Linked DNA regions of Tamandua tetradactyla. The protein of the gene in region 3 binds, or shares a complex with, the protein of the main gene of each other region. Links are inferred from orthologs where the notes say so. Each region holds a gene or a part of one and is shown on either strand. Other genes may lie near its edges.

What was found.
Region 1: the proteins of E2F1 (region 3) and CCNF are in contact, whole or in part, in a cryo-EM structure (PDB 9CB3), measured with the Homo sapiens proteins. The link is inferred for Tamandua tetradactyla from reciprocal best matches to the Homo sapiens genes E2F1 and CCNF. Residues at the interface, in NP_005216.1 of Homo sapiens: Gly84, Arg85, Pro87, Val88, Lys89, Arg90, Arg91, Leu92, Asp93, Leu94, Glu95, Thr96; in NP_001752.2 of Homo sapiens: Met309, Ile312, Leu313, Asp315, Trp316, Glu319, Val320, Met323, Arg349, Leu352, Gln353, Trp379, Leu380, Thr381, Asp382, Thr384, Asp504, Tyr505, Val508, Leu510, Thr511.
Region 2: E2F1 (region 3) and TFDP2 share a complex: the UniProt entries of both Homo sapiens proteins name them as parts of the DRTF1/E2F transcription factor complex. The link is inferred for Tamandua tetradactyla from reciprocal best matches to the Homo sapiens genes E2F1 and TFDP2.

What each region holds. Positions count from the first base shown.
Region 1 is NC_135349.1:54,972,711-54,980,565, reverse strand, and holds the start of CCNF (cyclin-F), read left to right. Parts: upstream 1-4,828; 5' UTR 4,829-5,342; coding exon 5,343-5,549; intron 5,550-7,113; coding exon 7,114-7,220; intron 7,221-7,855. Other genes in the region: ATP-binding cassette sub-family A member 17-like, read left to right, coding at 1-56, 194-267, 769-897. UniProt on the Homo sapiens protein: Substrate recognition component of a SCF (SKP1-CUL1-F-box protein) E3 ubiquitin-protein ligase complex which mediates the ubiquitination and subsequent proteasomal degradation of target proteins.
Region 2 is NC_135341.1:86,245,259-86,252,561, reverse strand, and holds the start of TFDP2 (transcription factor Dp-2), read left to right. Parts: upstream 1-4,272; 5' UTR 4,273-4,358; intron 4,359-7,303. UniProt on the Homo sapiens protein: Can stimulate E2F-dependent transcription.
Region 3 is NC_135327.1:19,289,025-19,296,843, reverse strand, and holds the start of E2F1 (transcription factor E2F1), read right to left. Parts: upstream 3,050-7,819; 5' UTR 3,035-3,049; coding exon 2,774-3,034; intron 1-2,773. UniProt on the Homo sapiens protein: Transcription activator that binds DNA cooperatively with DP proteins through the E2 recognition site, 5'-TTTC[CG]CGC-3' found in the promoter region of a number of genes whose products are involved in cell cycle regulation or in DNA replication.

The DNA.
Region 1 (7,855 bases), on a different chromosome or scaffold from region 3:
CAGGCAGAAGGAGGCACTGGAGAAGTTCAAGGCCTTCGTGAACCTGACCTTCCCAGGTGTGTGCCAGCTCTGGCAGCCTCCTTCCATCCCACATCCCTGAACCCCAGGCTGAGGCGCACGGGCCTATGTGCCCAGGCCGCCCTCCCCGGCCTCCAGCCTGGCCCTAGAGAGAAACGGTCTCTCCTCTGTGCAGGCTGCGTCCTGGAAGATGAGCACCAAGGAATGGTCCACTACCACCTGCCCAGCTACGGCCTCAGCTGGGCAAAGGTGAGTGTATGCCTGGCATCTGGGACAGCACACCAAGGAGGTCACCGCTCTCTGGCGACTTGATTCCTTTCTCTTTTGGGTGGGAATCACATTCCATGCTGCTGCAGGTCCTCTTCTGATGTCTCCATGGCAACGTTCACAAGGATTTCATACAACATAAGTGTTTGAGCTGGAAGGGACTGCGGAGATCAGCTCTGCCCATCCCCTCATTTCACAGAGGGGGCGTAGGCCCAGGGAGGGCCTGCCACATACTCAGAGGCCCTTCCCAGCCAGAGGCCCTTTCCCCTGAGTGCACACACAGCCGAACTGGAGAACTTACTTCCTGGAAGGTGCTCTGGGGGCATTTGAGAGAGGGATGGGCCTATGGGGGTCCTTGTTGCAACCCAAGAGACTTCCCCCTCTCCACCCCTCTGCTGCCTTCCCCTTGTCAGTGCCCTTCCTTCCTGGCGAGCCCGGTCCTCCTCCGGGCCCTGTTGACAGCACTCTCCTTACTTCCTTCAGGTGTTTGGGACTCTGGAGCGAGCCAAGGAGGAGTACTCCCTGGACGACTACTCAGTCAGCCAGATCACCCTGGAGGACATCTTCCTGAGCCTCAACAGCCCCACGGCCCTAAGCAGGGGAGCGAGTTAACATGAGCGCGAGCAAAGCCACTGGGCCTCCCTCGCCCCAGGTCCTGCTCTCACATGGCAGCTTGTCTTGCTATAATAAAGGGTTCCTGGTGCCCAGACTAGCCCAGGGTATGGATGTTTGCCGTGGACAGTACCAGGCAGAGAAGCACATAGCTCTCCACCTGGGCCCAACCCAGCTTGGAGGCTTGGTGGAAGTGCTGGGGGTGTGTTAGTGCAAAAGTTGGCTGTGGCCTCATCCAGGTCAGCCACGTCCTATTCATAGTGATACAGAGACCTTGTCTGCCACAGCTCTGTGCTCAGTGCTTGGCAGGGCTCCCACCCATCTGCATGGCCCTCAGACCAGGCCTCAGCTTTGCTAACGGGCAAGGAGTCTGCAGAGCTGAGGGGATATGCTTCCCCAGAGCCTACACCCTTCCTTCTCCAGAACCCCTTCCTCATCTACTTCAGAGCCACATGTCCTCCCTCCCTCACGCATGGGTCGGGCATGGCAGCTGTGTGCACTGCCGTGGGCAGGGTTTGGACAGGTGTGCTGGGGTCCACACAGTGGCACACAGATCCCTCAGCATACACAGTGGAATCAGGGATGGGAGAGGAGGGGACGGCCACACACCAGGGCTGGGTGGCTTGCCACATGATGCCACGTGATACCACGTTCAAGCGTGGCACTTCAAAGAGTCCAGGAATTCTAAATTCAAACCTGACCTCCCAGGTCATAATGAAGGTAAGGTAGGAGAGAGCATATTTAAGTTTGCTAGCTAAAAGTAGTTTATACTTTTAAAATATTTAAATGTTTACATATACAGGCCCCCATTTGCTCCCTTGCCCTGGCGCCTGCCAGTGTTTGGGGTGAACCTGCATTTCATGCTACATGGACCTGATTAGCTTCCCCATTTCAAGAAGGGTAAGCTGAGACAGACAGTGTGGCCCCTTCCCAGGTCAACAGATAGCAGCACCTGGGCCCTGGACCAACAGCATCAGCAGCATCCAGAAACTGGTTAAAATGCAGATTCTCAGGCCCCACCTCAGACCTCTGATTCAGGAACTCTAGGAGGGCAGCCCAGCAGTCAGCAATATAACAGCCTGTCAGGTGATGCTGCTGTGCCAGCCTGAGAGCCACTGAGAGCGGCAGGCAGGGGGGCTGTGCTGGCCACACAGATTCTCCTGGAGACGGCACTCCATCACACAGCCTTTCCCTCTCCATCCAATGAAGTCCAACTACCTCTCACCATTGGCTCCCTTCAGAAAGACCCTCAGCTGCCATTCTGATGTCTGAGGAGCTCTTTCCTTTCCTTCTCAGCCAAGCTTCAGGAAAGTGTGGTCCACTTTCTATCAGCACAGCTAGTCTGACTCCTGTGCCCACCTGACTCCTATGCCCACCTCTCAGCCAGAATTAGAGCTTTGTCACACCCTAATTACCATGCCCACTGGCTTCTCTTAGTCCTTCCTTCATTCGAATTCCAAGGCACTACTCGCAGCCTCTGCTACTGGAGGAAAGCCTCTTCCTCACTGCTGCTCACTGCCTTCTGGCCTCCCCATCACTCCTGTCTCTGATGCAGGCTCCGTCCTCTTCCTTTGTGTCTAAATGGGGGCATCCCTCAGGCTCCCAGCCTACTTCGCTTTCCTTACTCTTCCCTCTGCACCCTGCCACCCTTGGCTTTCTCATTTACCCCCACCTCATTCCAGCCAGGATCTTCCCTGGGCTCCTGCCAATCTAGAAGTTTTCAAGTTCTCTAGCCCATCCCCATACTTTCTATGAGCTGCTCGTAGCTCTGGTTTGGCCCTCCCGGCTCTTGCTGCCAGTGTGGTGGATGGGAGGTGAGAGGAGTGGTGACTGAACACTACCTACAGCTGCTGCCAAGAGAACACCTGTTTCCTGAAAAATAAGACCTTGCTCTTAGTAAATAAGAGTTAAGAGGCAGCTGAGGTCCTTGGAGTAATAGGGTGATATTTTAGACAGCATGATGTGGGATCTGCATCCAGTGCAGAGTGAGTGGGAGCAGTGTGTGGCTGCTGATTTAGCCTAGTTCTGTAATCCCTCAAAGGAGGCAACAAAACTAGCCAGAAAAGAGTGCAACTCTTTCAGGAAGACAGGTAACAAAGTAACAGGGCGCGGAGGAGTTAGGCTGCTGAGTTACACCATGGGGGATATAGTAACCAGGGGGGAGGGAGGGGAGCCTGGTATGTCAGAAGCCCTGGTGGGTGCTTCCCCTTCCTCCTGTGGCAATACTGGACATCCAGAAAGCAGTCCCCCATCCAGCGCCAGCAGGCTCAACCCTGTCCTCTCTCAGCCTCCTGAACCCCCTTCCTCAGTTTGGGGCAGGGACTATTTCCAACTTTTAGGCCTCGTCTAATATGCCTTTGGGCCTTCCTGGCCTCTCCTGACCTGCACACTTGTCTCCTGCTCTGACCCCTGACTCCAAGGCTCCTTAGCTGTGTGCACCCACCCAGCACAGACAAGTTGTAGCAAGCTCAGTGAGCAGGAGGGATGGGGGACTGCCGGACACCCGAACAGGTCTCCCTCGCTCCTCAGAGGAAAAGCCACTCTTTCTATGAAACATCTCACTTCTCCGTAGAGATGCCTTTTCTTTCCTGACAGAATGTCTCAAGAAAGAGGTGGGGGTGAAGCTGGGCAGTGGAGGGCAGGCCCGGGTGGACAGTGCGCAGTGCGGGGTGAATAGAATGCCCCGAGTGTGAAACTTTCCCTGTGGACCGGCAGCAAGCAGGCCAAACCAGCAGGGATGGCCTGGTCCTCGGAGGCAGGAGAGACTGGACAGCCAGGGACTTAAGGAGCCGCTGGGGGCACGGGAGCCGTTTCCGGGAGGAAGGGCCCAACCTGTGGAGAGAAGTGCCCTGGGGTCTGCGGGGATCGGATCTGCCTGGCTCTCGGCGACGCCGGCCACGGCCCTCGGCAGGACCCCGGGCACCGCATCCCAGACAAACGGCGTCGCGGACCTCCGGCGCGAGGACGGGACACCCGGTGCCCGGGGGTCGCGCCCAACAGCCGCGCGCTCCCTGGGGACGCAGCCCGCGGAGGCGGGGTGGTTGCACGAGCTCCGCCAATGAACGGCCGGTGTTCGAATTCGCGTCCTGGCGCGGCCAATCGAGGGCTCCCGGGGACTTTGAGGCGGGCGGGGTGGGCGGGGAGGGGCGGGGCTCGGCGGCCCGCGCCCCCAGGGCCGGCCAATAGGAACACCGGGCGCGTTTGAAACCGCGGCGGGAGGCGGGCGCGGTCTGCGCCTGCGCGGCGGCGGCGCGCACTCGGGCGGCGCGAGCGGGCGGGCGATGGGGAGCGGCGGCGGTGAGTGCGGGCTGGGGGCTCGGGCCGGGGCGCGGGGCAGGCGGCTGGGTGGCAGCCGGCTCGAGGGGCCGGGATGGGGTGCCCGCTCCTGGGAGCATAGCGGGGCGCGGGTGGCCCGAAGGCCGGGCGGGCGCCGCAACCGGGAGCGAGCGCAGTGGCGGGCGGCGCTGAGGGTCCCGGCCCGCGGGCGCTGGGGGTCCCCAGTGGGCCCTCAGCGTGGGGGCGGCGCGCGGGCCCGGGCAGGGTCGGGGTCAGTCCCGGGTGAAGCACACACGCCGGGCACTGGCCGCCCGGAGGTAGACACAGGTCCCGACGGGGCGGTCGGCGGAGAGACGCTCCGAGAAGGGCGCGGGGTCGCGGCCGCGCGGCCGGTGGCGAGAAGCAACCTTCCCTCCCGAGGGCGGGCGGGCGGGCGACTGGAAAGGCAGCGCAGGATCTGCGGGTTCCCGCCTGGTGGGTCTGGTTTCCCAGGAAATGGGTCAGGCCGCACCGTAGGATGAGGCAGGAGTTGCCGGAGTACAAGTCGGAGCCGCCCTGGGGGAGAGGGTCCCCGCGGGTCTGCTCTGCGATGGGATGGCTAGGAGCCCTGCCGAGGGGCTGGCGTCTCCTGCCTCGAGGAGCTGGGCGTGGGACGCCGAGGGCTTGGCAGCCTCTGGTAGCCCCTCGCAGGAGGCAGCAGAGCCCAGACTTGGACACGAGACGACACGGCCTGGCCTTGGTTCCTCGGTGGGGCTGACCCTCCTTCAGGAGGGCCTACAACCAGGCTATTCAAGTCCTCAGACACTGAACGTTGTGCCTTTTAGTGAAGATAGAAGCAGATAATCCAAGCAAGGGTTCAGAGGGTTTTCCTGAGAATGGAATGCAAGGAAAAGTATCATTCCTGTTGGTCAGTGTTGTTTTTTTTCTCTGTCTGGTTGTCACTTAGTTCTGCCTAGAAAGTTTCCTAGTAGCCAAGTACATGGTATCTACTATTTTCCATAAATGTTAATTGAATATTTAAGCCAATTATTATGTCATCTATACTTTGTCACATATACTACTCCTTTATTTAATCTTTGTTTGGAAGTAGAAATGTGATCTGTTCCTTCTTTGTGGGATATGGGACAGCAACTGTTAAAGCATCTTCCAATACAACTCTTGATATCTTCATGACTCCTTTCCAGTACGTCACTCATACTGTTCTGATCTTTTTTCCCGAAGTGATCCACTGTAGGTGTGCCAAGTGTTTCTGTTATCCTACAAAGAGAAGAATAAGAAAAAGACCCCGAAACCTAACTCTTTTGAGTCTTCCCGAAGATGTACTGGTTCACATCCTGAAGTGGCTTTCTGTAGGGGATATCCTCGCTGTCCAAGCTGTGAGTTGCCTTGAAGATAGGACCAAAGAACACCTCGGGCTTTATCTGAGATTCTACAAAGTTTCCCTGCACTATGATTCCTCTCCAGACACTTCCAACCTCCAGATAGCTTCCTAGACCAGATAAGTCCTGAAACCCAGAGGGCCCAGCCTCTCCAGAACATCAACTAGTTCTATCCCCCATCCCATATTGTCGACACCCGTTACCAGAATGAAAAAGTTAGAATAGGCATCGCACAGATACCCTTAAAGATTGGAAGAAAAATCAAGGAGAAGGAGTAGTAATAACAGAGAAGATAGGATTTAACAAATGCGTATGACTGCTGAATCATATTGATATTTTTTAGTCTTCAGTGTCTTGGAGCAGCTAGAAGGAAAAACCTAAAATTGTGGAATTGTAACTCATACCAAACTCTGAAATCTGTTCTGTAACTAATTGTTGCAGTGTGCTTTGAAATTTATTGCTTTTTTGTACATGCATTATTTTTCACAATTAAAAAAAAAAAACAAATAGGGCCAGCCCCAGTGTGGTTCACTGAACCACCAAGGCTTGGGTTCTTAATGAGCAGAACAAAACTTTTGCTCTAAAGGAGGGCACAGGGCAAGAAGATGATGTTGTTGATAGATGGTTGTGGTTTTGTTTCCAGTTACAGGAAAGTTTAAATGTAGCAGTCTGAGCTTGGACATTTTTGGTTCTCTGTGCTGTTTTATTTCAATTAAGGAAGTAGTTTACTGCCTTGTATGGCAGTAAAATTTGAATTACTTAAGAATTAAAACAGTATTAAATGGAAAAGGAAAAAAAATGGATAAGGATGTATTCTTGAGGACATTTCCATGTAATATTCCACACTGAAAGGCACTCTAGTAATTATAGATACTGGAACCCGAGCCTCAGAGTGATTCATGTTGAGTAACTTCACTATCATACTGCAAGTTAGTGTGAAAACTCAACAGGAACCCCTTCCTCTCCCACCCAAAGCTGCCTTCATCGCACTTGTAATTCATTGCATGGAACCCAGGGGGTTTCCGATGGCAGTGGAAAGGTATTGGCTCCAGATGCCCCCCTGGCCTCAGCCCAGCCCAGAGGCCTTGCTGCCTCCACCCCAGCAGAGGCTCCCTGGTTACCTATAGCTCCTACGTGAGTGTTATAGCCGTTTCCACTGGTCCCCACCACCTGGGGGATGCAGGCCATGCTCCCACTTGCAAGGCCCCAGGGAAAGAAGCGCAAAACAGATTGCTGTCCTGCCTACCCCCTTTAGAGCCAGTTCCTCTGATCTCTGCAGACAGGCACCTCTGTAGAGGGGACTTCATTCTTTCCCAACCCAGGCATTTGTTCCTCCCTTTCCAAGACCTCTGTCTTCACCTTTAGAGCCTCAGAGAAACTCACCTCTGGACTCTTTCTTCTATTAAAAGCAACTGTTATTGGCATCCTTTACTATTTGGGGTTCGGAGGAAAATGGGAGACCCTGTAAGAGGCAACTTCCATGTCCAGCCTTCTAGAGCGTCTGGGAATGGGTCTTCTGGGAGGTCCTCTGATGGTCCCCCACCTGGCTGCCGTTCTGCAGGTGCACTCCCAGCTGAAGTTCCTGGTAGACCATCATGCCAGCATCTGGGCATGTGCAAGCTTCCAGGAACTCTGGCCGTCTCCAAAGAATCTGAAGCTCTTTGAAAGGTATGTCTACAGCCCAAGAGTGGCTCGGTTTCCCCCCATATCAGTCCTCTGGCTGGGAGCCTATGTCCCATGGTCTGACTCCCGCCAGCATTGCTGTTGGCCATGATATAGCCAGTAAATCACACTGCGTGTCCAGTGATCCACATGCTGGCATCCATCACAGTGGGGCTTCTGAAGGGTCCCACTTGGGCGTGACCCATTCCATGTGACTCACTGGCAAGCCAGCTGTATATGGAAGCTTTACTCAGACCTCCTTTCCATTAGATAAGAACATGTGATTTCGGTCCTACCCCATTTCAGTCACTGGCTGGTCATAACCCACCTGCCAGGGTCAGGACCAGAGGGGCCCCATGACCCCCTCTGTGCCACCCACCAGGTTCACGGTTGCAGGGGTACAACTAATCCCATGACATCTGACCTCAGAACCAGAGTCTGCTAGAGCCTCCTCAATTAACAAACCAAGAAGCCATGACTCAGGAGGGGCTTTTCCTTGCTGAGGCTCACATGCCTACTTAGGTTCATTCTGGCCCTTATTTCTGAGTTGCTTGAAATCCAGGCAGAGAGCCAAGTTGGTGCACAAATGCCAGACTTCTGTATTGCTTTTGCCGAGCTTGAGCAGCTTCTGCATCATTGGT
Region 2 (7,303 bases), on a different chromosome or scaffold from region 3:
ATTGCACTTAGCAAGAGAGATGATGTTAAACATAATGTTGAGGAAAAAAGGGTTTGTGGATAAATAATGGCTTGGCACCAAATACATGAGGTGCAAAAACATGCGAAACTAAAGAAGAGATTTGGCTAGGAGCACACAGGTGTCCAACTCAGAAAGAGAAACCCGGGATGGCGGTGCGGCCTGGGTGCCGGGCTCCTCTGGGAGGGCAGCGGGGCTGGTGGGGACGCCGGGGCGGCAGCTCTCCTCCTCAGGCTGCTGTGAGGGTCCAGCCAGAGTCCTCCGGCCTCACATCGCTTACTGTACATGTCTGAGGATGAAGAAGATATTTTATCGTAAAAAGGGCTTTAGGTTTGGGATTAAGAAGCTGCCTTTATTCCACGTGGCTGTGAAACCCTTCCCGTCCCCTAACAGTCACCCCAGAGGTGGACTGGCCTGGCCCCAAGGTGGCCCGACTGCCCACAGGACGTGTCCCCAGGGCAGGTCCGACCTGACGCTGGGTGTGTCGTTTCCCTTGGCAGCCCCGGGCAGATTAGGTGCCACGGGGCACTTAGAAGCAATCCTCTCTGGACCCCGCTGACCCTGGGCTGTGTCTGATGAGAAGCTGTGACCCAGCGTGTGGCTGCCTGCCCTGCGGCACGCCAGGAAGCGTGCTGGAAAAGCGGCCTACACTGCGCCCCAGAGCTGCGGGTCTGAACCCCGGCTGGAACCCCCTACGACTCCTGAGCGCATCCGTGTGGGAGAGGCCACAGGCAGGTGTCCTCACAGCCCACGCAGAAAAGAGCGTCCAGCGCCAGGAGTGGATGTGAGGATGGAGCGGTGGCAGGTCACCTGGTCTGTGACAGGTCACCAGGTCTAACTGTGGCAGGTCACCTAGTCTATGGTGGCAGGTCACCAGGTCTAAATGTGACAGGTCACCAGGTCTAACGTGGCAGGTCACCTAGTCTATGGTGGCAGGTCACCAGGTCTAAATGTGACCGGTCACCAGGTCTAACGTGGCAGGTCACCTAGTCTATGGTGGCAGGTCACCAGGTCTAAATGTGACAGGTCACCAGGTCTAACGTGGCAGGTCACCTAGTCTATGGTGGCAGGTCACCAGGTCTAAATGTGACCGGTCACCAGGTCTAACGTGGCAGGTCACCTAGTCTATGGTGGCAGGTCACCAGGTCTAAATGTGACCGGTCACCAGGTCTAACGTGGCAGGTCACCTAGTCTATGGTGGCAGGTCACCAGGTCTAAATGTGACAGGTCACCAGGTCTAACGTGGCAGGTCACCAGGTCTAACGTGCCAGGTCACCAGCTCTCAAAGTGACAGTCACCAGGTCTAACGGGGCAGGTCACCTGGTCTAGCTGTGAGGGAGGCTGGTCTTCCTCACACGGCGCTTGGCCCCCTAGTGGACAGCCCACACAAATGCAAGTGGGAGATTGACCCTCCTTCTTCCCCGACGCCCTCGGCCGCCGCACTCTCATCCCTTCCATAACACCTGCTCTTCTTCCCTTACGCACCGAAGAGACAGTAGCGAATACAGGGTGACAAGGCTGTGACCCCCCCAGAGTCACAGGATTCGGACACGAAGTGCGCAGTCACGAGTCCGGTGAGTGTCAGGAAGGCCGTCTGAGTCGCAGCGGAGCACAGCTGGGGTGGGGCTAGACGAAGCTTTTCCGGAGAAAGTAGTTAAGCTTAGACAAGAACTAGGGGATCGCTCGAAGCACCAGAAACACCAGATTAATGGAGCTTTTTGGACATTTATATTTACTTCTCCAACGCCCGCCACTGTTTCGGGCATACAGTAACTACTTCCTAAGTTTTTGCTGAATCAATAAGCTCGATTCTATCACGGTTTAGACATCTACTCGCCAGAACCGGGAGATGGTGGAAGCTTCATTTTCCTTTTCAGAGAGAAGAGGATCCTTTAATGGGGAAGTGAGAACGAAGAGGGAAAATTGACTGTTGTGCAAATTGCTCAGCTGGAGTTATGAGTGGGAAGGAAAATTTGATTTACATGAAGTTTTCCTCCCTGTGGCAACTTGATGATTTATTCTGTTCTAGAGAATTTTCAGTTTTTGGCTTCAAAACCAGGCTGTTCCTTATTCTGAATTTCTTGGCCTGCTGTGAAATCGGCTTTTATTGTCTTTTACAGCACGTTCTGATGAGCTCATGGAAATTCACAGCTAGATCACACCAGTATATGGGAAATTTGAAACTTGGTCCATTTTACGTTGTGGTATTAGGAAGTGTTGTGAAACACCTACACATTTTTTTCAAAATCAATATTATTGAATGATTATAACAATTTCCATCATTTCTTGAATATTTACTATATATATTATATAAGCAAAATCCTCATATTAACTGCAAGAAAGGGGAACTGCATGAAAATTGTCGAATACTGCCAATTTCATATGATTCAATTTAGTATTACCTTCACTTCACTCTTAACCTTAGAAACATTAATCCCCGATTTCTAAACCATACCCTTACCGCATAATTGGGCATACTTTTTTTTATAGATAAGAGATATACTGACAACTACAGCTTCTCAATAATGCCTTGCCGCCTAGTATAGTCCCCGAGCCCCAGTGTGTACTTGCACCATCGCTGCCTGACACGTGTATTGGGGGTGGGAGTCCCGTTCCCTGGCTGACCCAGTTCCTGGAAAGGGAGGTTCTGTCCGCCTCAGTCGTTTTTGCATCTTCAGTGCCTAGAGAGTTCGATAACTATTTGCTAAATCAAATTGAATATAACCTTAACAAAATTTCTTGTAGGCACTAAATAGATCCTTATGATTTGTTAGTGGAAAATGTAAGTTAATCGCTCCTCCGGGATTTTGGCATTTCAGGACTGGGGGAGTCCTGCATCCGGCGTTCTTGGATTCCGAGCCCTTTACCTAAGCGCAGTTACGCAGAAATTGTCCCCCACAAAGATCCACGGTGCTCTCGCCCCTCCATCCTCGTTTAACTGCTGTCTTCCTTGATCACCGTTTTTAATACTGAAGCCACCTGTGAGCACCTTCTATAATTAATTTTTCCGTAGCCTTGCCAGCATGTAACTTTCTATTCTGCTTATTTTTTCTCTATGGTCTTTCCCACCCCACTAGACCGCAAGCTCCACCGAGGCCAGCGGGTCTGTTTTGTCCACAGGTGTGTCCCAAGCATCAAAAACAGTGTCTGCCCTTGTGTCTGATGCTCCTTTTATCCGTGTATGGGCAGATGAGTAAAAAACAAAGATGAAAAACAAATAACAGGGGGGATAAGGTGTAAAATGAATTGGGTAGATGGGAATACTAGTGGTCAATGAGAGGGAGGGATAAGGGGTAGGGGACACATGATATTTTAATTTTTTTTCTGGAGTGAGGCCAATGTTCTAAAATTGGCCACGGTGATGTGATATGTGAACCGCTGGCTGTACACCATGGCTAGACTGTACGTGCGTGAAGGGTTCTCAATACACTTTTTTTTAAAGACATACTTATCAAGTGAAAAGTAAAAAAGAGCGTTTATGGGAACAGAGAAGCGCGGGAAGCCCGGACCCGCGCCGACTCCGAAGAGGGCGGGGCGGTGTGGCGCGCGGCCCCGCCCCAGGCGGGAGGGTTGGGGCAAGGTTTGTTTATCTTCGCACGCACGGCCGGCTCGGCCAATCCGCCGCGGGCAACGCCTTGCGTCATGCGTCCAGCGGACCAATGGGTGCGCCCCGTGCTGTCCCGCCGCCAAAGGGGGCCACAACGGCCCGACGGCGCCTCGTGGGCTCGGGGCCGCGGCGGGAGCACACTTGCCGGCCGGTCGCTGCCCCGCGGGGCCGGGAAGGGCAGCGTCCCGCGCTTGCTCCGCTCGCGGCGCGGGGTGACCGCCGTGGGCCCGCCCTCTGTCCGCTCCGCCGCCCGGCCCGCGCCGCGGAAGGGCCGCGTTCTCCGCGGGCCTCGGAGGCGGGGCTGGCCGGTCGCTCCTCCTCCGTCGCGGGGCCGGGTGTGGTGTTCCTGAGGGACGCCCTGGAGGCCAGTGGAGGGAAGGGCCCCGCGCCGCGGTCCTCCTTCCCCGGAGATGGCCCCCTCACGCAGACGCAGCCTCCGCCCGTCCTCGGCGAGGCAGAAGCACGACCTCGGTGCCGCTCGGGACGACCCGGAGAAGTCGGCGTGGAGGACGGCCCGCGGCAGCCCGCCTCCCCGGTCATTGGGCCGCCTGTCGCGCGGCGGAGACACCGCCCCCGTGGCTGCGCGCGCCTGCCCCCCCCGCCCCGCCCCGCCCCGCCCCCAGCCCGGCGGAGATGCGCCGCCCGGAGCCGCCCCCCGCACGCGCCTCCCGGGGCCCCCAGGGCCGCGCCGCCCGCCGCCTTCTGGGAGTGCAGGGGCAGCGGCAGCGATGGGGTGCGTACGTTGGCTCGTCGAGTTCCGAGACTTGCTAACCCTCCCTTCTCAGCTTTCCTCCTTTCTGCTTGTTTACGTAGGAAAGAAAGCTGAAACTTTCTAGTGTGCAGGACTTCGCATTGCCATTTTGTGATCCTGTCATTTTCCGCCAACTCCTGTGAATGTGTGGTCCAACGGGCTCCTTCGTATTTTCCCGTTACAGCCGAAATTCTGAAACTACCTGGTCTGTGTACGCTGCAGTGCAGCTTGAAATGGGGTGTAGCAATAAGCTCACCTTTCATGTGGAAAGCGTGTGCTTGTGGATCAAAGCTGTACGCTAAAACATACCCTAAAATGTTCAAAGAGCAACTTGTTTAATTAGGAATTGAGATGTTAGAAATACTGTCTTGTTTTGTACATAATGCATGAATTATATTTACATAGCACTTAGCTGTTTTAAACATTTTTTATTATGATATATATACAAATCAATAAATTCCAACGTTCATTGTATCCAGGAGTTATAGAACAGATTTCAGAGTTTGGTATGGGCTACTGTTAACAGTTTTAGGTTTTTCCTTCTAGCTGTTCCAAGACACTGGAGATGAAAAATATCAGTATAATGATATTATATTGTTTATGTTATATTGTTAAATCCTGTCATCTCTGTTACAACTCCTCCTTCTCCTTTCATCCTTCTCCCAGTCTTTATGGGTTGTTTGGGTTATGCCCATTCTAACGTTATCATGTTGGAAAGGGGTGTCAAGAATATGGGCTCAGAAGATGGAACTAGTGAGACTGGCTTCTCTGGTTTTCAGGACTTATCTAGTCTAGGATCTCATCTGGAGGTTGTGTGTTTCTGAAAAGCAACCTTAATTCGTGAAATTTTTGTAGACTCTCACATAGAGTCGTAGGTGTTCTTTAGGGTTAACAGGAATGGTTTTGGTCACAGTTTGCAGACCTTGGTAATTAGCAATAGCTAGCTGAAGCTTGCATAAGAGCAGCCTCCAGAATAGCCTCTTGACTCTGTTTGAACCCTTTTAGCCACTGACACATTGTTTTGTTACAGTGTTGTTCCCCCCTTTGGTCAAGAAGGTGTTGTCTCTTCTGTGGTGCCAGGTCCAGGCTGGTCCCTGGGAGTCATGTCCCATCCTGCCAGGGAGACTTTCACCCCTGGATGTCTTGTCCCACGGTAGGGGGGAAGGGCAATGATTTCACTTGCAGAGCTGGGCTTGGAGAGGGAGGCACATCTGAGCAACAAAAGAGGTTTTCTGGAAGTCACTCTTAGGTATAACTATAGGTAAACTTAGGCTCTCTGCTACAGAAATAAGCTTCACAAAAACAAGTGTCTAGGCACTTTGCTATTTTAAAAGGCTTTTTATGTATTTGAGAGTTTTTAGAACATGGTAAGCAAATAGAGTAAGAAAAATAAAATAAACAAAAAAGGTGGTGAACTAGAACCTAAGTATTCTGATTTCTAGTCCATTGTTTCTTTTATCATTATAATTAGAGAAATTGTTGGTTTTCAGAACAATCATGTAGAAAGTACAGAGTTCTCACAAACCCATATACCTCCCCTCTACCTGCATGCCTGTCGTTTTCCATATTACTAACAGATTGCATTAGTGTGCTGCTTTTGTTTCAATTGATGAAACGGTATTACTGTAGATAAACTATTAGTTGTAGGCCATAGTTTACATACATTAGGGTTCATTCTTCAGGTTGTTCAGTTCTATGGTTTTTTAAAATTTTTATATGATAACATATAGATACAACTAAGAATTTCCCATTTTAACCACTTTCAAATATACATTTAAATGGTGGTAATTGCATTCACTGTGTGCTACCATCACTACCATCTGTTATGAAAACTTTTCCATCACCACGTAGAGAAACTCTTTACCCGTTAGCATTAATTCTTCAGTCTTTGACTCCATGGCATCCTCTGGTAACCTGTGTTCTAGTATTTGACTTTATGAATTTGCACATTCTAATTATTTCATATCATTGAGATTATACAATATTTGTCCTTTTGTAGCTGACTTATTTCATGCAACATGATGTCTTCAAGGTTCATTTATGATGTAGCATGTACCAGAACTTCATTCCTTTTTGTGGCTGAATAATATTCCATCATATATATATATATACCACATTTTGTTTATCCATTCATTATTTGATGGACACATCGGTTGCTTACCTCTTTTGGCAGTTGTGGCTAATGCTACTATGAATATCAGAGTGTAAATATCTGTTTGAATCTCTGCTTTCGATTTTCCTGGGTATATACCTAGCGGTGGGATTGCTGGATCATATGGTAGTACTCTAGACTTCTGAGAAACAACTAAACTCTTTTTCACAGTGGCTGCACCGTTTTGCCTTGCCACCAGTAATGAATGTATATTCCTGTTTCACCACATCCTCTCCCACACTTATTATTATTATTTTTAATAGTGTCCATTCTAGTGGGTGTGAAATGGTACCTCATTGTGGTTTTGATTTGCATTTCTCTAATGGCTAATGATGTTGAGCATCTTTTCATGTGCTTATTAGCCATTCGTATATTCTCTTTAGAGAAATGGCTATTCTAGTTCTTTTGCCCATTTTTTGATTGGGCTGTTTTGTCTTTGTTGTAGAGTTGTAGGATTTCTTTATATATTCTGAATATTAAACTCTTATCAGATATATGTCTTCCAAGTATTTTCTCCCATTCCATAGGTTGTCTTTTTGCTTTCATGATGAAGTTTTTTGATGCACAAAAATTTTTAATTTTGATGAGGTCCCATTTCTCTTTTTTTCTTTTGTTGCTTATGATTTTGGTGTAAAGTATAAGAAACCGTGGCCTAACATAAGAAAACATGTTTTATTCTAGGGTTTGTATAGTTTGGGTTCTTATATTTAGATCTTACATCCTTTTTGCATTAATTTTTGTAAATGGTATGTAGTAAATGGTATCCATTTCTCCT
Region 3 (7,819 bases):
GATTCCTACTGGCCACCCTCTAAATAAACCCTAGCACAGGGGACATGAAAAGCAAGGAAAAGACATTCACTGGTGAAAAATCGAGACTCAACCTCCTACCCGGGACAGAAGGCCACAAAAACTGTGGATTATTTAGCCCTTGGAATACCATATGGCTGCCAAAGAGGACTGAGGCAGTCTGACAAAGAATCAAAGACACACTGACAAGCCATAACATTGTTATAATGCAATGCATTAATACGGTCCCTATTTGGATTAAAAACAAATCATGAAATCTGTTTTCCTTGGTACCATTTCCATGACACTGATCCATTTCAGGAGCAACCTCTGCTTGCATAAGGGCGTCAAGGGGGATTGCTCCCTTATTTGTATGGTAGGAATAATGTGCTATTAGAACAAGGGAGTTAAGAGAAGATAGTTTTAAAAACCCTTAGGAAATGAAGGCTGTCATAACTACATAAAAAAAAATACTTAGGGAAAGAAAACACAGGAAAAAGATTTATTTGGGATCGTTGTTCAAATTTCTACTATCTTAAATTCTTTTCTACAGTAAACATATATTTGTAATGGGAAAACTTTTTTAAAAACTGAATGGCCACCAGCAGGGTGGAGGTGGACATAAAGGGTCAGGAGGAATGGCTGAATTGCAGAGCCTTGTATGTAGTAGGTGCTTGATAAACGCTCATTGCTACAGAAGCTGAGACTATAGTTTTTTCCAGAACTGCCCCCAAACAAATGCCAGTGCAGAGGGTCAGTGGAGACCACAGCTCTTTGCCTAGTGGCTACCCACAGCTGCAAGAGTTGGGGGTGCTGGAGAGCAAAGGCTGGGCCGATGTTTCTAAACTTCAGCTCCAGAATGATTCCAGCCCCTCCCCCTCACACACTCCAGGAGAAAAATGCTCACTGGCCCTTAGGCACTGTGGACAGGGTCTCCTCATTTGACCCCGTGCTTAGCTGTCCTCACTAACTCACCAGCTGCAGAATGAATGCTGCTGGTGGCATCCAGCCCCTAGCCCATCCCCCCTGCAGGCTCTGCCACTGTCCCTGCAGCCCTGGGCCTGTTAAGATCTTCTCAGTCAGCAAGATGGAAGTTACCTGCCCAGGCCCCAAGCTGGTACCCTCGGGGCCAGGCCACTGGGAGTATAGGAAGCATATGTACCCTCCCTGGTACACTATCAACCCACTCACTCATCAGAAGGAAGGGCCCCTAAAATCAACCTGGGTTTCATTCAACTTCCAACAGCATCTCCAGGAGGCGAGGCATCCCGGCAGCTAACTGCTCAGGAAATCTGGACTGCTGCTGAATTCATCAGTCTGGTCCCACCACTAGCAAGCTAAGTAACTGAGGAAGTTCTAAAATCTGAGGCCTCAGCGTCCCCCTCTGTAAAAGGGTTAAATGAGTTAATTTGGATAAAGTGCTTGGCGCAGAGCCTGCATACAAAATACTCTCCCAACAACGGTGGCTGCTATTGTTATTATTATTAGCATCTTGGTGATTCCGGAAGGAAGGCAGCACTGGGCATGGGGCCAAGGGGGCCAGGGGAGGCTCCTGGGATGCCTCTGGGACCAGCTGCCACCCGCGCCTCCATCAGCGGTTGGGTGGTTTCCACCTCGTCCTGGGCCCTGCCTCGCCCCTCCCACTTGTTCCAAGCCCCCGTGAGACCCCATCCTTCCTGGCCAGCCCCTGCCTGCCCGTTTGTGCCCCACCTTCACCCACAGGCTGTGCCAGTCAAACTGGTCTCCACACCCTGTCCTGTGGCCCACAGGTCCAAGCTCCGGGGCTCCTCTCCTTTCTCCGGCTATAATCCAGCCACGTCTGGGCCCCCCCAGTCTGAAATGCTCTTGCGCTTCTCGTTGCTCAGGAAAGACTCTATCAGGGCATTTCTCTGGGACATTTTCTCTCTTCTGGCACTAGGGATCTTGCCTCCAGCTCAGAGGCCCAACCCACCCCATCCTTCCACAGGGGCCCAAGGGTCTGCCTGCCTGATTAATGAGGTTCCATGGCAACCAGGGCCTGGGAGGGTGGAGGGGAGCAGATGGAAGGACAGGCAGAGGGAGGGGATCAGCAGCTGGCCCAGCCATCCCGCCCCTGCAGAGAAGGCCTCCCAATCAGGCAGCCTGTCCCCAGGGGCCTGGAGGGCCAGGCCTGCACCTGGCAGATCATCATCAAGGCAGGAAGGTGAGTCTTCTCAATGCTCCCCAAAAGCCCAACCCCAGGACGACCCACCCACCCTCCTCCGCAGCTAGCCATGCTCACTCCCCAACCTCAAATCCTGGTGTGAAGCCAGCAGGCCTCAATTCAAATTCCAGCCTCACCACTTGCCAGTTGTGTGATGGGGATAAGTCACTTCCCCTCTCTGAGCCTCAGTTCCTCCTCCGTCAGATGGGCACAGTGACAACACCGAGCTCGCAGCGTGGTTGTGGGTTTTAGATGGCTTGAAGTCCACCAAAGGCTCAACCAAAGGCCTGGCATGCAGTAAGCGCCAGCTGCATACACGTGGGCCACTATTATCACCAAGTCTACCCTCAAGTGGCTCCGATTAGGATGGTGAAGCCCACAGCACCGAGTGGCAAACAGGGACTGGCCCGAGGTCACCCAGCACCCCGGGGCGGGGCCCGGAGGCTCAACCCAGGCTCTGCACCGCCCAGTCCGAGGGCTTCAGTCCACCCCTCCCCTCGCCCCCCGCTGCCTCCGGGCCAAACACTGCGCCCCGCCCGGGTCGGCGCGGGGGTACAGGCTGCGCACTTGGCCCAGTGGCCCTGGTGTCCGTACCGGCGGGCGGCCGAGCGCAGGGCGCGGCGCGCTGGGTGTGGGCCGGAGCGCCTGAGGCGTGGCGAAGAGCAGCAGGTCGGCGTCGCTTGAGCCCGCGGCGGGCGCGGAGGGGCCGGCAGGGGCCGGCGGGGCGCTGGCGTCCTGCGCTGCAGAGATGATGACGATCTGCGAGGAGTCGAGCAGCCGCAGCGCGCCCGCCCCGAGGAGGGCCTCCAGCGCCGGCGCGCATGGGCCGCCCGCGGGGGCCCCGGCCACGGCCATGGCGCTCACGGCCCGCGCGGCCCGGGTGGCAAGCGGCGGCGGCGGCGCGGGCCCATGGTGGCCGGCCGCGGCGAGGGCTCGATCCCGCTCCGGATCCCACTCCGCCCGGGGCCGCCGCTGCCTGCAAAGTCCCGGCCACTTTTACGCGCCAAATCCTTTTTGCCGCGAAAGAGCCACGAGCCGCCTAGCGCCCTCGCCATTGGCTTCCCGGGTTATGACGAAGACGGCGGCGGCGGCGCCCACTGGTTGCAGCGCGCCGGGCCGGCGGCGACGGGCTGCACGGGGCGGCGGCGCGGGGCGGTGCAGCCAATCGCGGTCCGGGGCGCGCGCAGGCTTTGTCGGGGCGGTGCCCGGCGCGTTCACACTCCCCGCCCCCAACCCGGACGGCCCCTGCTCAAGGCGTGGTGGCCCCACCCCCGCCCCACGCGCTCGGTCCTGCTGACCATGGTGTAGAGCTTCCATTCTGCTGCTATCACGTCTCCGTCTGCAGCCCCATAGCACATGACCCCCAGACCTGCAGCCCACACTCCCAACCTGCAGCCCTCATACCTCAGCCCAGATTTCCAGAAACTTCCTCCTCCTCCTTTCTGAATTCTCAGGCCCACCTCCAAAGCCCCAGACATATTTCCCATCCTCAACTTGCCCCACCTATCCACCTATGCTGTTTACTCTCAAGTCCTACGCTCCTCCCAATCCCGTCAGTCTTACCCAGTCAGAGCCCAAACCGAGGGGGCTGCCAGGAAACCGGGAAGAACTCGATATGGACCTGGCGCTTTCCTGCAGCCGCATCTTAGCTGGAATCCCTTCAATAGCCAATGCACAAGCTTCTACCTGAACTCATTCATTCATTCGCTCATTCAACAATCGTTTTGAGAGCCTGCCTTGTGCTCCATCCTTATTTAAGACCTTGACTACTGGCCCTAAGGATCTCACGGTCTAGTGAAAGGATGAGAAGGAAGAGGTGGCAAATGTTTACAGCATGATGAGGAATTTCCGCCATTAATGTGACCCCATGTTAGGACCTAACCAAAGGAAGGAGGTGGGGATACTGAGCACAAAAAATGCATTTAATCCGGAAGCCCTGGGACATCTCCACCAGCCATTTCTCCTTGCTCATATCAGTCCATTTGACCAGTATTGTCCTCAACACTGTGCCAGGCCTTGTGTCAACACTGGGGACAGAAATGTGAAAGATTTGATAACTTGTACAAATCTAGTGCTGTTTGGTGTGGGTGATCTACAAGAAAAAAAAGTAACTAAGGCACAAACGAAAATCAAATCCCCTGGTCCAGTCTAAATACCACTTCTTCAGGGAGCCCACCAGAGTCGGAGTTACTCACTTCCTCCATTGCCGGTTGCTGCCTCTCTGTTCAGGCACTGATCACGCTTCTTGGTTTCTCCATCTGCCTCCCCTATCAGACTAAGATCTCCAACAGCGCCCCCCTCCGCACGCTGGCCTGGCTCAGAACAGGCACAGAGGAGGGTTATGAAAGAAACAGAGGCTACCCAGAATGCACCAAGGAGGCCCTGGTTCTCCAAGAGTGGTCCTGATCACTTCAAAATCACCTAGGCACCTGTTAACTTTGGGCCCATCCCAGCCCTGCTAAATTAGAATCTTTGAGGGCCCACGAATTTACATTTTAAACACATATCCCTTCCCACCCCCATCCAGGTGATTTTTAAGTACTCTAACATTTGAGACAAATTGGTATACCTGTATAACCAAGATGCGTGGTGAAGCCTTAGATTACAGCCCCTTAAGGAAAATTTTCAGCCTCAGTTTCCTGATCTGTAAGATGGCACATAGACCTTGCCCTGGCCCCTTCCAGGGTTGCCATGAGGATAAAAAGCACAAAGGATTTTACAAATGTTCTATAGATTGGAGGTGATTTAGGAAAGCAGCAGGAATGTCTTTCCTTTTGTAATGATCAGTTTGTGATGTTACTCATGAAAATCATAGAATGTGTTAGAGCTGGAAGGGACCACAGAGATCACATAAGCCTCTTGCTGTACAAATGGAAACACTAAGGCATACCCAGGGACCAGGGTCTGTGAAGCCAGTTAATTGTAGGATCTGACCCACGCTAGATTCCCAGCCCTGGGGTCTGCCTGTCCTTCTTTTACCTGAAAATAGAGAAGCTGAGGGATAGGTGACATACTAAATAACTAAGCCAGACCCTGACAGACTGAGAGAAGCTGGCAACATTCCCATTCCATATGGAGAACATTTCCTTTGCCTACACCCTCTCATAGGGTCCCAATAATAGGAACACTCACTTTTGTAAAGCCCTCTCAAACCCAATAGTCATTCAACAAACACTCACTGAATACCTGTCATGTGCTGAGCACCATGCTGGTTGCTGGAAAGGAAGGCAGATGCTGTTATTATTACCCCAATTTACAATGAAATGAGGAAACCAAGGCTCAGAGGGCATAAGCTTACCTAGTAGAGGATAAGGCATGAGCTTGGCCTAGTAGAGGAAAAGGCTATTATTCAGGCTTGGTGCGGACAAGGCCAGGGATTTTCTAAAGCCCTACTTGCCACCCTGCCCCTCCCCACTCCCCACCAGGTCCTGCCCCCATCCAGGCGATCAAGCACATAACCTCTCAGGTAGAAATAGGTGCCTTCCTTCTCCCACAGCAGAAAAGAGCAGGTCTAGATGGAGGAGGCCAAGCAAAGGCCAGAATTCCCAGCATGAAATCTAGAAGAGATAAGGACCTTCTATATCTCTTATATATTTTCTGTATCTTCTGCTTACTAATAACCATTTGTAAGCAGAAGAGATCTGACAGATCGGGCTCCTTGGCCCTGAGCCTGGCAGATCCTGATAAGTCTGTTCCCAATGTCAACAGCTCTCCTCTGCTAGGTTGGTAGGCTTAAAAAAAAAAAATCCACAATTACTGGGCAGCCACTTCAATTGGTGATCACCTTTCAACTTGATAATCCGATAAGTAATGTCTGTTTATCCACATTGCTGCAAAGGAAGGAGGCTGAGAGAGGGGCCCTCACCGGCAGCCTGCTCCTCTACAGTCCCCAGGGTCTGCCCTTCATACCCTACCACCCTCTAAAATTACCCTGAGATGCAGAGCTTTCAAAAGGTAGCACGGTGGAGTGCGGTTCCGTAGGAATTTACTCCCATTTCCACCTCCACTAACTCTTCATTCAAGAGGAGTCCAAAGGGGGACCCACAATTCTCTCTCAGAAGACACATTCCCCTTGGTTCTTTCCAAGAGGCAGGATGATGTAGGGGTGACAGCTTGGGCTTCTAAATCACATGGTCAAAACAGGGATCTAGGTCTGTGCGAACTTGGACAAGTCACCTCACCTCTGAGGCACACTGATTCGATCCACAGATCTGCACTGAGCACCTACTGTTTGTCAGACATTGTGCCAGGTGCTGGGAGACAGCTGTGAAAAGCCGGACTCATCTCTGACACCTGTATCTCACAGTCCAGTGTGGGAGTCAGAATTGTCTATGCACCTGCACAACACACTTGTTAAGAAGTTTGACAATTGACACAAATAAGGTAAAACCATTTATTCCATAAACATGGCCCCTCAAAATACATATATGTTGAGCTTAAAAAAAATAAAATCTCCAAGCATGTACATCCCATCATTATACTGAGTACATAATCAGAAGTGATTCTGTGGCACCTTTATTTTATGGGGCACAAAGACATCCATTGTCCAGTCCTGGGAGGGGGAGGTGGGGAGTTTTGTGCCCCCAACTCCTCATTCCTCTTGAAGGATCCCTCATTGTTAGACTGATTTCTCTGCCCGACTGACAGTTTACTGTCCCTGGAGGTGTCCTGTCACTGTGCCAGCTCTGGCTGGGTCTGAGAGGTGCTCTACCAGGAGCCAGCCTTTGGAGTTAGGCAGACCCCCCAGCACTGTGGCTTCCTGCCTATGCAACCGCGGGTAACCGCGGGTAAGGGACTCCCTCCCTCCAAGGGCTTTGCTGGCCTCATTTGTGGAACAAGGGATGACACTCCCTTAACAAGATGGGCCTAAGGCTTAAACGTGGAAACAAGGCACAGCAGAGCGGGCACACTGGCCCACAGGTGTGATTTATAGGGTATTTTTCCCTTAATTATGAATGTTTTAACATTTAAAAATTGGGAAACGCCATATAAAAAGTCGAAGATCTGGCTCTTTTTAAAACAGCAATGTTTGGCCATCTGGCCAGGTCATCACAGTGCTGAGCAGTTGCCACCCCTCATTTAGCCAGGGCCTCGACCCTCCAGGCCACTGCGGCCCAGAGCTCATGTCGGGGGAGCCCCTCTTCTCCCTGAGGCTCCCCCAGGGCCGCTTCCTTCCTCTGTCTCCCCCCCACCTAAGGAGGGATCACACCTTTCCAAGGAGAGGGGAAAACAGCACACAGTGGCTATGCCTGCGGCAATCAAGCTTCCTGGGTGAGGGTGCCTCAGAGCCGAGGGGCCCACAGTGCTTAAACCCCAGGCTCCACAGCGTTGCCAGTTCCTTACCGCCTCTTCCCCAGCCTCTCTGCACCTCTGTGTTGTAGTCTGTAAAATGGGCATAATGACATTAATAATTGTTTACTTGATAGGGTTTTTGTGACAGATGAGCTTTTAAAGTGTTTAAAACAGTACCTGGCACACACAAACATATCAGTAAATGTCAGCTGCTATTAAGAATGAGGGATGACTCACTCAAGCACTTGTCTCCATCTCATCTTGACTTTTCCAAAAGGAAAAAGAAAAACAGTTCTTGTTATTCTCCTATGCAGCACAGGAGAGTTTTCAGGGAGCAATCTCTATAGT